Linked DNA regions of Arabidopsis thaliana. The protein of the gene in region 1 interacts with the protein of each later gene in a pairwise test. Each region holds a gene or a part of one and is shown in the gene's direction. Other genes may lie near its edges.

Evidence for each region.
Region 2: the proteins of VP2 (region 1) and GPT interact in a protein complementation assay, tested with the Arabidopsis thaliana proteins (one large-scale study listed by BioGRID).
Region 3: the proteins of VP2 (region 1) and AT4G16444 interact in a protein complementation assay, tested with the Arabidopsis thaliana proteins (one large-scale study listed by BioGRID).

Annotation. Positions count from the first base shown.
Region 1 is NC_003070.9:29,669,849-29,677,501, forward strand, and holds the start of VP2 (vacuolar H+-pyrophosphatase 2), read left to right. Parts: upstream 1-1,646; 5' UTR 1,647-1,843; intron 1,844-1,931; exon of another isoform or gene 1,932-2,143; intron 2,144-2,237; 5' UTR 2,238-2,491; coding exon 2,492-2,590; intron 2,591-2,760; coding exon 2,761-2,964; intron 2,965-3,074; coding exon 3,075-3,226; intron 3,227-3,314; coding exon 3,315-3,462; intron 3,463-3,538; coding exon 3,539-3,671; intron 3,672-3,992; coding exon 3,993-4,165; intron 4,166-4,314; coding exon 4,315-4,435; intron 4,436-4,927; coding exon 4,928-5,115; intron 5,116-5,295; coding exon 5,296-5,733; intron 5,734-5,813; coding exon 5,814-5,978; intron 5,979-6,054; coding exon 6,055-6,210; intron 6,211-6,295; coding exon 6,296-6,407; intron 6,408-6,507; coding exon 6,508-6,727; intron 6,728-6,813; coding exon 6,814-6,913; 3' UTR 6,914-6,983; exon of another isoform or gene 6,984-7,100; coding exon of another isoform or gene 7,101-7,570; 3' UTR 7,571-7,653. Other genes in the region: AT1G78915 (Tetratricopeptide repeat (TPR)-like superfamily protein), read right to left, coding at 72-151, 266-371, 641-728, 890-927, 1,013-1,041, 1,123-1,233; AT1G78922 (uncharacterized protein), read right to left, coding at 7,101-7,570. UniProt on the Arabidopsis thaliana protein: Pyrophosphatase active in both inorganic pyrophosphate hydrolysis and H(+) translocation.
Region 2 is NC_003071.7:17,299,835-17,304,752, forward strand, and holds GPT (UDP-glcnac-adolichol phosphate glcnac-1-p-transferase), read left to right. Parts: upstream 1-1,737; 5' UTR 1,738-1,927; coding exon 1,928-2,310; intron 2,311-2,388; coding exon 2,389-2,476; intron 2,477-2,564; coding exon 2,565-2,656; intron 2,657-2,745; coding exon 2,746-2,864; intron 2,865-2,972; coding exon 2,973-3,088; intron 3,089-3,177; coding exon 3,178-3,305; intron 3,306-3,399; coding exon 3,400-3,486; intron 3,487-3,650; coding exon 3,651-3,711; intron 3,712-3,805; coding exon 3,806-3,846; intron 3,847-3,928; coding exon 3,929-4,049; intron 4,050-4,136; coding exon 4,137-4,196; 3' UTR 4,197-4,377; downstream 4,378-4,918. Other genes in the region: LIS (WD-40 repeat family protein / small nuclear ribonucleoprotein Prp4p-like protein), read right to left, coding at 4,485-4,676, 4,780-4,918.
Region 3 is NC_003075.7:9,273,897-9,278,118, reverse strand, and holds AT4G16444 (tail-anchored protein insertion receptor WRB-like protein), read left to right. Parts: upstream 1-1,671; 5' UTR 1,672-1,860; intron 1,861-2,020; 5' UTR 2,021-2,062; coding exon 2,063-2,173; intron 2,174-2,248; coding exon 2,249-2,328; intron 2,329-2,451; coding exon 2,452-2,522; intron 2,523-2,813; coding exon 2,814-2,884; intron 2,885-2,968; coding exon 2,969-3,050; intron 3,051-3,133; coding exon 3,134-3,183; intron 3,184-3,256; coding exon 3,257-3,328; 3' UTR 3,329-3,681; downstream 3,682-4,222.

The DNA of each region.
Region 1 (7,653 bases):
CTGGAATAAAAAGAAGGAAAATGACAAACAGTAACATGGTGTAAATGACACAGTTATGACTTGGACTTCACTTAACGCACCTTCCCGTGGGAAGAAAGTCACCAAGAGCAAAAACCAAACCAAATACAACAACAGCTATGCCAACTCCAACCTGTCATGGCATGGGCCCAAGTTTTGTCATGTTATGTATGAGTAGCTTATAGGCCTCAAGTGGTTTTAGAACAAAATAAAAAATAAACACTTGCAAGATGTTATGTATGCGTACCTTAGTACCAAGACCAATTGTTTTCTGGTCAGACTTGACTGGTGCATCATAGTCAATTGGACCAAATTCTTTAACTACTTCTGTCTTTTTCTGCTCAAGAGCTGACCTGATTCATCAAAAGAGCAGAGGTCACAGAAATAACATTCCGATCAGTGGGAGGACAATGATCTTGACTATGTCTAGGGGGTGAGGGAAGTGGAAAGCAAGACAAGTGATGAACAAATCAAGAAAAAAAAAGAATCAAACTTTCATAGGAAGATCATGTCGTTGTGGGTATAATGAGAAAGTCAAGTGTGATTGTCAGAGGAATAATCCTATTGTAACCTATATATCTCTAAAGCCAATCTTCATGCTAGAATCATAAAACATAGGTACCTTCTGATGTTTTCCAGCCGTTCATCGAAGTCTATATCAAAAGATCGACCAGATTTTCCTTCAAACTGAGTATTCAGACCAGGTGCCTCTGCAAACAAATGCAGGAGTTTCTTGAGCAAACCTTTCAATTGAAACCAACTTTTTGAGATAAACTGAAGAATGCAAAAATGAAGTTATGTTCGAGACACCATGAAGGAGAGCAGCAACATCTGTTACGTACAATATGCTTTAAAATCAAATTATACTTACTTCTGGGTACAGAAACAGACTGTTTAGAAGATGATTTCCTGCAGCAAAGAAGTCCATATGAAAATATAACAACAGCAATTTAAAATTCTAAATGCTTTAAACAAACACAAAAACTATTTATACCTTTGCTGCAATGCCGGGTCTTTCTCTTCCTGTGATGCGATTTCACATTTTTGTCTCAGTACTTTGAATCAACAAAATTAAGTTGAACAAAGAAGAATTTGGAATCAAACCTTTTTTGAGCCGAAGCCACGCTTAGGGTTAGAATCCGAGCAACGTATTCGAAATAGGAGAAGCTTCGAGTTAAATGAAACGGAGGTCGTCGCCGCTAGTGTCATCAACATCCTCTGTTTGTATTGTCCTAACCAAAACAGAGAATTTTCTAAGAAAGTTTCAAAGAAATAATGAGAAGTAACGGCTACGAAGAGAAATTCGTCCGCCGGAGATTGACGATGAAAGGTGAGCTCCGTGATCGGGCCGGTAAGATAACGTTAGTGGTTCTTCTTCTTCTTCACTTTGCAGATTGTCTATTATATGGGCCGAATGGCAAAACATAATTTTGGGCTAGGCCCATATAATATTCAAATGTTAATATTCCAAAATTGATGGGTATTTTTGATAATTTAACTCGATCTATATAATTTAACAAACGAGGATGATTTTAAGTTTTTAACTTTTTAAGTGAGAATAGTGATTAAGTGTCAACGACTCATTGGATAGGATGTGTCATAAAATTAGTATTGAACCACTGAGGAGTGAAAATAAAATTAAAGGTAGAAAAATTAATTTAGGAAAAAAATATTCGGAAAGTTCTGTGAAAAGTCTTCGGATTTAGAACGGAGACAGCGAGAGGATAGAGCGCTTCTTCGGCTACAACAAGCTTTCGCTAATGGCGGTTTCCTTCTGATCACTCTCACCGGAGCCGTCATCTTCTCTGTTTTACCGATTTTTAGGGTTTGTTTCCGGATAAACTCTTCGTATGCTTTTTTTTTTTCGTTGGATTCGTTTCTGGAAACGTATCCATTTCCTGTCTAGAGATCATGTGAATTTCTCTTAGAACAGAACTCAGATCTAAATTAAAGTAACGGTGCTTGATTCATTAAACTCGGAATGCAAAGTCCCTTGCGTTTTATTCACTGAAATCTTAGTCGATTAGATCTTGAGGTCTGTTTGTTAATCGCACTTTTCTGGGGAATTGATCGTAGAAGCAATTACGCTCATGGGAAATGATGAAAGTTATAGCTAAACTTTACTGTAGAACCTTACTCTGATTATATTTCATTTAAAAATGCTATTTGGTTGGTAAAGAGAAACATCACAACTTTTCATACTTTTCTATTTTTTTCAGAAATTTTGATTGTGGTGGAAACTTGTTGTGGCAACTCTACTGAGAAAGTTTGAAGAAGCTGGAATCAAAGATATAGCTAGAGTTAAGAGGGTTCATACTAACTTGTGCTCGTTTTGTGATGTGCTGTTGTTAACGTTTGGAGGAAAAAGTTGTAGTGTATTAAAATTCAGCGTCCGAGTTCTGGGGCGGAGTTGCCCCATAGCATTGACTTTACGCCTCTACACATAGTCCGAAGGGCTAATTCAGCTCAAAACATGATGATGGATGAAGATGTTGAGCAGGCCAGTTTGATGTCTTTCAATGACAGGCCTAGGGCTTTTCCCAACATGCGTAGTAAAACCTATAGTCCACTGGTACAACTTTTATTCCTCTCTTTCTTGAGTGCTTTTCTTTTTGCTTGCATCAGATCACTGAGATGCGTATTATAACTAGTTTCCTTCTATTTCGTTTAGCATCTTAGTTTCTTGAGCATCTCGTTTTCATTTTCTTTGAAATTGTATAAAGTTTAGTTGTTTTTTGGCAGATATTCCGGATTATTAGGAAATTAAATGTCCGTGTCCTTTCGATAATTCTGCTTTTCTGCTTCGGAGCAATCTTTTACATGGGGGCAAGTACTTCTCCCATCATCGTGTTCGTCTTCACAGTATGCATCATCAGCTTCCTTTTGTCAATATATCTAACCAAGTGGGTTTTAGCGAAAGATGAAGGACCTCCAGAGATGGTTGAGGTAAGCTCACTCAGATTATGTGGTGTTAGTCATGATGTTGACATTTTTCCTTCTTTGTTCTCATCAAAAATTTGTAATTCTAATTTGTGAGGTAATTCTCTTACTTATAGATATCAGATGCTATACGTGATGGAGCTGAAGGTTTTTTCAGAACGCAGTATAGCACTATATCCAAGATGGCCATTTTGCTAGCTTTTGTGATTCTTTGCATATATCTATTCCGTAGCTTAACTCCCCAGCAAGAGGCTGCTGGTTTAGGAAGGTGCTGATACATGATTACATTCACAAGATTTATTTTATCTTTTGAATTGTTGTGAATGAAGCTTAGCCATATTACTATTTTGCTGCAGGGCGATGTCTGCTTATATTACTGTTGCTGCATTTCTTTTGGGGGCTCTATGCTCAGGTATTGCTGGATATGTTGGAATGTGGGTGTCAGTTCGTGCTAATGTGCGGGTCTCCAGTGCTGCCAGACGATCTGCGAGAGAAGCATTGCAGGTTCTTCTTTAGTTTAGCTATTTTGGTAACATGTCATGTACACGTTTCCAAATACTAAGTGGCAGATATAATGCAGATAGCCGTTCGTGCTGGTGGGTTTTCAGCCCTGGTTGTTGTTGGTATGGCTGTGATTGGTATCGCCATCCTCTATTCTACATTTTATGTGTGGTTGGGCGTGGGTTCACCAGGCTCAATGAATGTTACTGACCGTAAGTCTTCTGCTCTTTTTTTTTTATGAAAAATATTCATTTTCGTCTTGTGTGTATATTCTATAATCATTGTACTGAGTTTCAAAAAGTTATTGTTATCTTTTCAAAGGATCATTTTCAGACATGAGCAGTATTTTCTTAAATATGTCATGACTTGTATTAATCTTGATTGAGGTGGGGTACCAATACAGTTCTAAGATTTTCAGTGAACCCTATATGTAATTCTCTTGATTTATTGACCAGAATTTGCATTTGCATGGGCGATAGTGGAGCTATTAAACTTGTAAGATTTATTGATTGAATTTTCTGTTTCTCTTACAGTACCTCTTCTTCTTGTCGGATATGGTTTTGGTGCTTCGTTTGTTGCCTTATTTGCTCAGTTGGGTGGTGGAATATATACTAAGGGAGCTGATGTTGGGGCAGATCTCGTTGGGAAAGTTGAGCAGGGAATTCCCGAGGATGATCCTCGAAATCCTGCTGTTATTGCTGATTTGGTATTTGATCTTTGTTCTTTTTGTTTCTTACTTTCTTGATTCTGTGATTCCCAAACGTGACATCCTTGTTTGGGGCATATATCACTCTACAAGGGTTTGCTTGTGTTTTCGTCATTTAGGCATTTAAAGCCATTTTCATCTTCTTGTAGGTTGGAGACAATGTGGGGGACTGTGCTGCTAGAGGTGCTGATTTATTTGAAAGTATAGCTGCAGAAATCATCAGTGCAATGATACTAGGTGGAACAATGGCTAAGAAGTGCAAAATTGAAGGTGCACCATCTCTCTTTAAAGTTACTTCTGGTATATGCAAATATATAACTTATGGTGTGAGTTCCTGACTCATACCGAGAAAATTAAATGAACTGCTAGGATTTTATAATCTGAAATGCAAACTTAGGAAGAGTTGCATAGAGAGTTCAAGCTCGTAAATTACATTCTGTATACAGAATAATCTACGCTTTATTGCATGTTTTGGTCACTCCTTGAGGATTTGAGGGTACATTATTACTTGTTAGGATTTAAAAAGTCGACATAAGTTGTATAGAGTTATTGTTTGAAGCACCTTGTACGAACCTGCTATGCATTGTGTGAAAATTGAAGGAAGACTACTTTTCATGACAGCAAGCTACACTTGGCTGCAGTCAAAAAATTTCAATAACATTACCCATTTCTAGCAGTGGTTGTTAGATATGCGCTGATAAACATCCTATTAAACCTCTTGTTCATGCTTGATACTTACTCAAATCTTTCTCTATTATGCAGATCCATCAGGCTTTATCCTTTTTCCTCTAGTTGTTCATTCTTTTGACTTGATTATATCCTCAATTGGTATTCTATCAATCAAGGGAACACGTGATGCTAGTGTGAAATCTCCGGTAGAGGATCCAATGGCTGTACTTCAGAAAGGATATTCTCTGACAATTATATTAGCTGTTATAACATTTGGCGCGGTAATGTTGTCACACATAACCATTGATTGTCTTGTTCCTTTCATTCTTTTTACAATTAATTCTGCTTTTTATGGGCTTTTTGGTTCAGACTTTTCATTAGCCTACACTAGCCTTGTTATTACTGAAATTTCGAACAAATTCTTTGCTATATTCTTCTGACAGCATTATTTATGTTTGTAGTCGACTCGCTGGCTGCTTTACACTGAACAAGCTCCATCTGCATGGTTCAATTTCGCCCTATGTGGGTTGGTTGGCATCATCACAGCCTATATCTTTGTCTGGATATCCAAATATTATACAGACTATAAGCACGAGCCTGTTCGGACGTTGGCTCTTGCTAGCTCGACTGGTCATGGGACTAATATCATTGCTGGAGTAAGCTTGGGCCTGGAATCAACTGCTCTTCCAGTTTTGACTATAAGTGTAGCTATTATTTCTGCGTATTGGTTGGGCAATACCTCGGGTCTAGTGGACGAAAATGGTATTCCCACTGGAGGTCTATTTGGAACAGCCGTTGCTACAATGGGAATGCTAAGCACTGCAGCTTATGTCCTTACTATGGACATGTTTGGCCCCATAGCTGACAACGCTGGTGGGATTGTCGAGATGAGCCAGCAGGTAAGATGTCACATGATTGGCTTGAAAGGCTCTTATGTTCCATCTTTATTCTATGTAGAAATAATAAATGTTTCGTGCAGCCAGAGAGTGTCCGTGAGATCACTGATCTTCTTGATGCTGTTGGGAACACCACAAAAGCAACAACGAAAGGGTTTGCCATTGGATCTGCTGCACTTGCATCATTCCTTCTCTTTAGTGCGTATATGGACGAGGTTTCAGCGTTTGCTAATGTGTCTTTCAAAGAGGTAGATTTCGTTATGCATCGTTGCTGTATTCTCGATGTTGAGACAACTTCTCATACTCATCCTCGGATAAAATCAGGTTGATATTGCTATCCCAGAAGTGTTCGTTGGTGGATTATTGGGTGCCATGCTTATTTTCCTCTTTAGTGCTTGGGCATGCGCGGCAGTTGGTCGAACTGCACAAGAGGTTGTCAACGAAGTAAGAAGGCAATTTATTGAGAGGCCTGGCATAATGGTGAGCATATTTTTCCTTTTGAGTGCTTCACCTTTTCTTGTGTATTGGCTTGTACCGTTGTTGACTAGCAAATATCTTGTTGCAGGAGTACAAGGAGAAGCCAGATTATAGTCGCTGTGTCGCCATAGTCGCATCTGCAGCTTTAAGAGAAATGATAAAGCCAGGAGCTTTAGCTATTGCATCACCCATTGTAGTTGGTAAGTCAGTAATATCTACTCGTTTTTCTTTACTTACTGTATTGAAAGTTTGAAACCACAACATTGTGACCAAAAACAAACCTCTTGTTCTCTCTTTCAGGTTTGGTGTTTCGAATCTTGGGTTACTACACAGGACAACCTCTGCTCGGAGCAAAAGTTGTAGCTTCTATGCTCATGTTTGCAACAGTTTGTGGTATCTTAATGGCACTTTTCCTAAACACGGCGGGAGGTGCTTGGGACAATGCAAAGAAATACATAGAGACCGGGGCACTTGGGGGCAAAGGAAGTGAAGCTCACAAAGCAGCTGTGACTGGTGATACGTAAGTATTTTCGTTCTACTTCAACACTCATTCAAAGTTATATTCCTGAATACGATTTCTCATTAGAATTCATCTGAAAATTGTAGCGTGGGAGATCCGTTCAAGGACACAGCCGGTCCATCCATTCACGTCCTCATAAAAATGCTTGCGACTATAACTCTCGTCATGGCTCCGGTTTTCCTCTGAAAGTGAACCGTTACTTATCCATCCCGGCTTATTTACTCTCTTGCACATATACAAATAGAGAGGGAGAGAGGTTGGTTATAAAATGATTTACATGGATTAATGGTTTTTGTGTTTCATTTCATCTGAATAAATGAGATAATTCTGTTTTTGAGTTTAGAGACACTCTTTAAGGAATTCTAGAGACATTTTAATCAACCACATCTTTGACTTTGAGAGTCTTTATTTTCCTCGATTTAATCTTTCTAGTACTTCTTCTTACTCTTCTTGATTTGCCTCCAACTCGTACAGACAATTGTCTACTCGGTAGTCTTATGAGACGGCGGTTGTTGCGATTGCTGCCATGATGGTGGTGGCTGTGTTTGCTTCCTAGTCTTCTTCTTCTCTGCTTTGGTCTAATGTTATCTATTCGACTGGGACTGTCCGATGAACTTGATTCATCATCACTCGGATAATCATAGGTCGTAGCTTCTATATCATCGAGACGTTTTCTGCGACGGTTGACCCGATTTATGTTAGTCAAACTGTGACACAAGCAACTAATCATCTCTCCAATGTCGAACCAGTACGCTGCACAAGCGGCACATGACATTTTGCAGATACTTTTCACAACACATTGGCAAATTCCAAGCTTGAACAGGAGGGTGATGAACATCAAAACTGGGAAAAAGAAACAAATACAAAATTATAGAAAACAAAGGAAAGTTCACAGAATCAATAGTGAATGCTAAAAATCGGAAATA
Region 2 (4,918 bases), on another chromosome or scaffold:
TTAACAATTAACAAAACATAATTCATAATAATAAAACATTTGTTAATACCATATATATTAAAAATTTGACCAATAACATATATATATATTTTTTTTGTTAATTTTCCTTTTGGTTAAGAAAAATAAAATGTAATATTTTTTAGATATAGAAATATGAATTAGTATATGTTAATAATGATTTCTTTTTTTAGTTTTCTATTTCTTTAAGAAAAAAAAAGTTAATTATTTTCTTACACATGGCAACATCTGATCGATAGACTTGACACGTGGCATAATCTTATGAGTTAGTAACTTTGAAAACCATACTTTATATAATAAGATTTTTTTTTGTTAATTTTTCTTTTGGTTAAGAAAAATAAAATGTAATATTTTTTAGATATAGAAATATGAATTAGTATATGTTAATAATGATTTATTTTTTAGTTTTCTATTTCTTTAAGAAGAAAAAAGTTAATTAATTTATTTTTTAGTATTTCTATTTCTTTAAGAAGAAAATGGTTAATTATTTTCTTACACATGGCAACATCTGATCGATAGACTTGACACGTGGCATAATCTTATGAGTTAATAACTTTGAAAACCATATTTTATATAATAAGATGTTGATTTATTCTTACTTTTTTTGCTATATCTTTCCTTATATTTCATACTTAATATTTTTTTTTTGTTTCTAAGATACATACATTAACTCTCATATTTATTGTCTTAACTAAATTTTACTTTTATTTGTACACGTGGCTTCCCCCCACAATATTTTTGACCCAAATCCAAAAAAAAAAAAACACTATCAATAATATTTCCTCTTACCATTTATGTCTTACACACAAGTGTCAAAATATAGTAGAAGACATAGAAAATGTTTAGATTATGATTAAATATCACAAAACTTTTGTGACATAAATCATGATCCATATGCATCCAAGTTCTAATAATAGGTCGATTCGATCTTGTAAAAAAAAAAAGTAATTAATAGTAAAAGATTTTGTATTGAATTTTGAGATATTTTTCTCTCACTATAAAAAGATGAATTGTGTAGCTAGAGATCATAACAAACTCTGAGGAGATTCAAGCTAAGGTACATTTACAAAAACTTATTTTAAATTACAATGGGTTGTTGCATTTTCGAAACTGATCCTACAGACCAATAAGTACTATTCAGTTAATTTGAAAACACTTACAAAAAAAACTAAGATATAATTTAGCAACTTTAACATTTTTTATTATGTTTGTAGGGACATTAATGGGAAACTGGTGTAGTTGTGTAACAAAAGATGAAAATAGTGATAATTCTAGTAGCTCTCAAACTTCTACGGATAAAGAAAGTAGTGTGCAAGTTTCTTCTGTGAGCACTACGTCTTCTTCAGAGATTTCATCTGAATGTTCTTCTTCAAAATGATCATCTCAAAGCTCCCAATGATGGAAGCGTAACTAGTGAGCAAATGTCGCATGGATCATCTTCTTCATCTTATCAATAAAAAAATCTTCAAAATAAATAATTTTCTATGTCAATTTTTATATTAAAAGAAACTTTGTTAAAAATTATGACTATTAATTAATAACTATATTATTACATAATCTTTTAAATATAAGTTTTAGTTTTAATTTTTAATAGTTGCTTTATGTCATGCTGATGTGTTGCTACAACAAAATTCTTAGCAAAATTTATGCATTTTTTTCTTAAAAAAAGAGAGTTCTATAAGTATAATCCAAGATATATTCTTGTACTTAATACGAATAATTAAAGTTATGATTAATCCATAAAGTTCTATTTCGATGACACGGTGTCGTATTTGAAGCGACGTGGCAAATCCTTATTGGTCTATATGACGCAGAACGGGAATTGCTCTGAAGAATCCTTTCTCAGGCGAACGGAGTTTGGAGTCAAAATCCAGAGCGCGGGGAAACGAAACGAGCCAACAAATCCGCCATGGCAGCTCGTAAGAGAGCTTCATCGATCTCAATTCCCAACAAACCGGACCCGTCGGAACCCAACTCAGCGCCATCGGAGCAGAAGATGACCCGAAAGACGGTTTCTGCTTCCGGTGAGGAATTTCGTCTCGCGCCGCCGAAATTAGGAGTGATCTTCGTGATCTCTACTCTTCTCTGTTCGCTCTATCTATACCTTCTCTGTTTTCACTACAAGGTTGATAATGAGCTCAAGCGATCGATTCTAATTAACGCGGGGCTTAGCTTGGTTGGGTTTTTCGTCACTCTCAAAATGATTCCTGTTACTGCCAGATACGTTCTGAGACGTAACATGTTTGGTTTTGATATCAACAAAAGAGGCACGCCTCAAGGAGATATTAAAGTGTGAGTTTTTATCAATCTCTGATTTTCCAAAGATTAAGATTAGTTTGATTAAAATTTCTTCATCCTCTTTGTTTTCAGGCCAGAGTCATTGGGTATTGTTGTTGGTATTGTCTTTTTGATCGTGGCGATAATATTTCAGTATTTTAACTTCACTGAAGATTCTAATGTAAGTGTGCATTAACGTCTTGTTTTATTAATCTCTGTGGTTATTCTCATTATCAATGTTTGTGAGTCTGGCTGATGATTCTGTGCAGTGGCTTGTGGAGTATAATGCAGCACTAGCATCTATTTGCTTCATGATTTTGCTTGGATTTGTAGATGATGTCCTTGATGTGCCTTGGAGAGTGTAAGTCCTAATTCCTACATATTTTTTTGATGAAATTCACGCTTATCGTTTTTGATTCACATGTTTACTGTTGTCAATTTAAACAACAGAAAGCTTGTCCTGCCATCTTTTGCTACCCTTCCACTTTTGATGGCTTATGCTGGTCATACAACTATTGTTATACCAAAACCTCTTGTTGCTTATATTGGCTTGGAAGTGCTTAATCTAGGTAATGGTTCTTGTACATGATACCACCTATTTGTACACATTGACTTGTATTTTTCTTTTGAGGAGGTAAATGATTATGATTAGCTCAATAGATGTTTTAACGTGGCAGGAAGGATATATAAGTTATATATGGGGCTACTTGCTGTCTTTTGTACAAACTCTATTAACATCCACGCTGGTCTGAATGGCCTTGAAATCGGTCAAACAGTTGTTATTGCCGCTGCTGTAAGTCTTATGGTCATACATAATGTCTCTGAATTTTTCTCATTTTGTTTCTTTTGGGTTGAGATATGATGCATCCCAGTTACCTGTAGATCCTGATACACAACGTTATGCAAATCGGAGCATCTGTTGATCCCGAGTATCACCAAGCTCATGCCTTCTCGATATTTCTTACTCAACCGCTGATGGCCACATCCTTGGCAATGCTTGCTTACAATTGGTAAAATCCCTAGCAGGCTTTCTCTTTAAAACTTTTTTTTTTTGAGTGGAAGTAATGATATTTCTGACCAGTTCTCGCAATCTTCTGCTGTTAGGTATCCTTCTTCAGTTTTTGTTGGAGACACTTACACAGTCTTCGCCGGAATGACTATGGCAGTTGTTGGTATTCTGGGTCACTTCAGGTATACTTCCAAACCCACTTATCTTCTCTGAGGCACAGGCACTTCACTAATACATGGAAACTACCAACTCTTAGATTGATCATTTGCATCATATATCCAGCTACTGTATGACCATGCAACTGATTCCCATGCCATCTTTCTGTATTGAAATTTTGCTTCTGCAGTGAAACCCTCCTCATCTTCTTTCTTCCTCAAGTTCTGAACTTTCTATTATCGCTTCCTCAGGTTCATATCACCTTTTCACTCTTCTATGGCATACGTATAATCTTGTCAACTCATGTTTCAAAAATTTAACATACTATATATGATAACTCTTCAGCTTGCTGGGATTGTGAAATGTCCGCGCCATCGTCTCCCAAGGTAACCCCCTTTGTTTTCTTACCCTTTGTAGACTGATTAAAGAACAGACGCATCACTCATCTTGTCTTTTGAAAATATCCAGGTATGATCCTGCTACCGGATTACTGACCGGCACAAAAGATGGGACACTCGTCAATGTTTACTTGAGGTTGTTTGGTCCTAAATCAGAAAAGTCTCTTTGCATCCATCTTCTCGTTTTCCAGGTAGGTCTCAGATATATGTATATCGCCATTCGTATATAATGAAGTAGTCGCTTTAGTGTTGTCATACTCTGCTTGTTTTTGCTACAGGCTCTAGCCTGCGCCTTCTGCTTCATACTTCGACACTTTCTTGCTGGTTGGTATAAATAGTCTGCAATCAGAGAAGTCACAAATACAGAACATTACTTTAGTACCTTGTACAATCGTATATATCAACAATTTTTGTTAACGTGTTGAAGTATTCTCAAGTAAACAAAGTTCATTCATTTGCTTTTTGTTGAACGAAATGGCAAAATTTTCAAGACAATGTATCAGCATCCTGAGTTTCTATAATTCCCGACAAGAGATCAAATACAATTTAATGAGTTTCTCTAACAAGCTAATCTCGAAATCCCTAGATCCCAAGTTTTTTTTCTTGCACAAACATGAAAAATGAAACTAGAGATCTATGTCCATTGTTTCTTTCTCTTCGTCTTCATCATCATTTCCACTGCTTGTCCATAGCTTGATGGTGCGATCATGTGATACAGTAGCGATACACGAGCTATCTGCTGTGATATCTAGAGAGGCGACTTTTGACTCATGCCCTGCTAAGCTTTTAACGAGCGAGAAATCTCTTCCTGACCATATCTGGTAGACAAAATATAAGAAATTGGAATCAAACTATAAGCCAATGAAACAGAAGACTGAAAAAAAAAAAAATACTAAGGCAAGGGATTATAGAAGTAGTTACATTGACTTTCATGTCGTATGAGGCAGTGGCCAGAAAGTAGCCTTCTTGTGGCTCATACTTCACTTGAGACACAAGGTTAGCATGAGCTGGTATAATGTACAATGACTTTCTCATTCTTAGATCCCAAATACGGCATTGA
Region 3 (4,222 bases), on another chromosome or scaffold:
GCATGAGGTTTTAAATATTCCTTGGAAAAAAAGTGAATATGAGAAAAGGGAGTGACAAAAGGGTTTAGGAGAGATTTTGGTGGCTTGGGAGATGGTGAATTGGAGCCACTTCTTTGTCTCTACGTCAAATCTTCTCAGTGGAATTTAAAGTTATATTATTGGCATTCAATTAAAAATGAAACACACATTAAAGAAGAGTGTCAAAAGTTGTTAATGGTTTCTATAAATTAGTTGATCCACTTTTAAGTTTTAACTTCTTATGATTTGGCAAGGAGGAAAAAGTATATAAAAAGTGGGCCTATCTATTGATAAAAAGACAAATGGAGTTCAATAGACTAGGGAATAATGATATCAACATATATGTATGAGATGTGTTTTGATTGATAAATAATTGTGAAAAAGACCACTCATTTTTACACAAGACATTCTCTCTCGATCTCCTCGTTTTCTCTCGATCAAAATGCTACTCTACGCTCCCTTCCCATAATGAAAACATCCATGCATGTACATTATCATATTTTTACTAATTTAGGGATCGAAAAGATTAATTTATAAAAAAGTAGAATACTATATACGTATCAATTAATATATGTGTTCAATGCAAAGCCGATGCAAACTTATATATTTCCTATCGTGATAATCTTATATAATAGATATTAGTTGTGTTTGATATATATAATAATTGCAGTACATATAATTCTTAACACCCATATAATGTAAAATTTTCTGATACAATTCTAAACCACATGTGTGCATTTTGAGTTTCACTTCATAGTCGGATTCTGCAAACTCCCCACATTAATTGGTCCACAAGGTACAAAACTTATCTCACATATATTCACCAATATATACAAATGTCAAATGCCTTTATAATGTATCACTCTTGATTGTTGATATTAGATAAGAATGTTGATATCATTACAAATGAAATGATATATTAGATTAAATTGGTAAATTTATTGTTACACCTCTAACAACGAAAAAAAGTGAGACAGTATAGCTACAAAACGGAGCGGGTTGAAAGAAAGAGGAAGTGGACAATGGGGATACAAAGTTTGAAAGGCACATCAAAAGTGGTGGGAGCAAAAGTTTGTCGTCAAGTAATTGGAATATAATGGCATGCATACACGAAAGCTGAAGATGCTACGACGTTTAGGATTTGGACTTACATTGTTTTTCTTCCTTTTTTCAGCTTCGGTATCTGCGATGTTATCGATAATGCTCTGATTTGGTGATAACCCCAATTAGATAGATGATTAACATAATTAAGTGGGATCGGATGAGACAAAACATATAGTGTCTTTAGATTAGTTGAGAAAGATTAGAGACAACGCGTGCCATTTCTGGTAAAACCATTACAACCACTCCACGTAAAAAGAATACATTATGTTTGTTAAATTTTCACATTTCTAATTTCTTACCCTCCATTTTGTAGTTTTACTACATCTCTACTATTTATATCTATTTTTATCCTATTCATTCTAAATTTGGATACTTTTACTGTTGACTGAAACTTGTAGCCTAGTTGTTGTTTCTTTTCACATGTACTCATGTATACCCAAGCTTAATGAAATTTTAAAGAAAATAAACAAGCGGTTTAGTTTTAATTTAATGGGCCGTTTCTTTATTTCAACGAAGCCCAATAGAGCCTGTTGAAAAAGGGTTTAGTTATTGTTGTTTACACATAAGGGCTTGAGTTTTATTTATTTCACGAAACGAGTAGAAACTTTTGTTTTATCAAAATCAGAACCCTCCTCTTTTACAGATTCAGGCCAATTCTAAATTCCCATCGTTCGTTCAATTTCAGACGTTAACCTCGGCTTGAAGGCTTCAAATTTCTGTGAATCCACGACGGAGATTGTAAGTTCCGATCATACTCACGACGATCTCATTCTATATGCACTAGAATCTTTTCCTCCTCCATTGATTAGATGATATGTTTATCCAGAACATGATGGATTCAATTAAGGCTTTTATTTTGTTGATCTGAATGGTACTGAGTTATGAATTGTTCGAGCAGATTGGTGAATTACGTTAGAATCAGTAATCAGCAAAAGGGTTAATGGAAGGAGAGAAGCTTATAGAAGATCGCGGCTTTTTGGCTGCTCCTCTGACCTTCGTCGTCGTCGTTGTCTTCCAATTGCTATCCAAGTGGCTTGACCAATTGAAGAAGGTAAAAAAGATAATACTTTTTGGCTTTTTTTCATATCCACATGAATCATCGTTTTGAATTATGGAATTTCTTCAGAAAGGGTCGAAGAACACGAGGGAATCAGAGCTGCGAACCGAAATTAAGCAGCTTTTGAGAGAGGCTAGTGCATTGTCTCAGTAAGCCATTTTGTTGTCACATTTTGTTTTGGTTCTAGTGATTTGAGTTAAGGAAGGTGCAGTTGTTGAAAAATATATATATGAGTGTTGTTGATTAGAGATTTATCTATTGTTTACTTGCAGGCCAGCCACATTTGCGCAAGCAGCGAAACTTAGGAGGTCAGCAGCTACTAAAGAGAAAGAACTTGCACAATGTGAGTATGCATACATTATTAGTTCTACATTGATTGCTTAGTGAGCGTAGAGTTCATGAAATTCAGAAATATGATTGATTGCTTAGTGAGTGTAGAGATCATGAAATTCAGAAATATGATTGATTGCTTTGTGAGTGTAGAGTTCATGAAATTCAGAAATATGATGCAACAGTTAGTTAGCTTTAAACATGAATACTATCTGGTAGCAGATATTCCTACTAAAGCACTGCATCATCATGGTGTAGTATTGGTGTGTGTGTGTATTTGTTAATTCTCATTTTGAAATTTTAGATCTGGAGCAGCATCACAAAGAAATCAAGCTTTCATACGATATGTATGGGAAGGGTCTGCTTGCTTCGAAGGTAGCTTAGTTTGTGTGCTCAAGCTTCTTCTTTTTTTCCGTCTAAAACTCCTTAATCGAGATGTGCTAAGAACTTTGTTTCTAGGTTGTGATATACCTAATCTTGGTATTGTGCTTCTGGAGGACTCCAATTGCCATTATCGCTAAGCAACTTGTTCAACCGTTTGGTGAGTAGTTTACTTTTACCAGGTTAAAGCTCGCTTATGGTATATAACACATAGGAAAAAAATGAATGTGGTGTGTTTCACAGGGACTTTGTTATCTTGGGGAACAGGAGGTCACATGACAGGCCATGTAATGGTAAGTTCCTTCTTCTCAATCCATTTATTTGGGCTTGTTCTTGATTGAGAGTGTTGGTTGGGTAAAAATGCAGGTCGGGATCATACCGTGGCTCATACTCTCAAACAGAGTGAGCAAATATGTGTGTAGGTTCGTGGAGTTCTAAATCGCATCCCTGAAAAGAGTGAAGATTGGATGGTTTTTGAGTTCAAAGTTGTAGCCTTTTAGGAGACACTTGTGGCAGAAATTGTGCTTCTCTTTTTGTTCCTAATCTTCCTTAACAATGTATATTTATATGACTCTTTTTCTCTGGTTGTTTGTTGGATTTTACCAATAACAAGTAGTTCGTTTTTGAGAGTTGAGCAGGTTGTTACCGTAGAAGCAGCCCCAATATTTACCCAATGTGTATATATACACCATAACAAACACATTGTCTCTATTCCTCTACGTGTTGTCAATTTTTATCTTGTAACACCGACTTTGTAAAATCAGATTCTAAAGACGCGTGTACTTATTCAACACGATGCCAATGCATGTGGTTCATTAAGATGTAGCATTATATCACCGAAAATGGAAGAGAGAAATAAAAATACTTACTATTATTAAAAGTGGGTAGCTTGGTGAAGGCACTAAAGTTTAATGGGAGAATCTTTTTAGCAATTAATTCGAGGGCATTATAATATCCACTTCCAACCACCACATTACTTAATTAAGGAAAACAATTTAAATCATAGTATCTTGTTTGGTTTGAAAGGAACGTGCACGTGTCACATCATCTACACTTGTCTTTCTAAATCAAAGAACTTGATTGGATTTGGTTAAGCCTATTAGTAAGAGTTAATAAGACAGAACCAAAGAAAAGGGTTTGGTTAGAGGGGCTAATTGGGAGATGGGAAGTGCAATAAATAAGAAGAAGGTTCATTAAATAGTTGTGTATGTGGGCATCCAAAGTCCCATCTTAATAATTTAATAATCTCCTCGGGATAGATAACAATCTTCTCTTCTTCTTCTTCTTCTTCTCTCCATTTTCCTAGAACATTAAAAGACAAATATGGAGCAT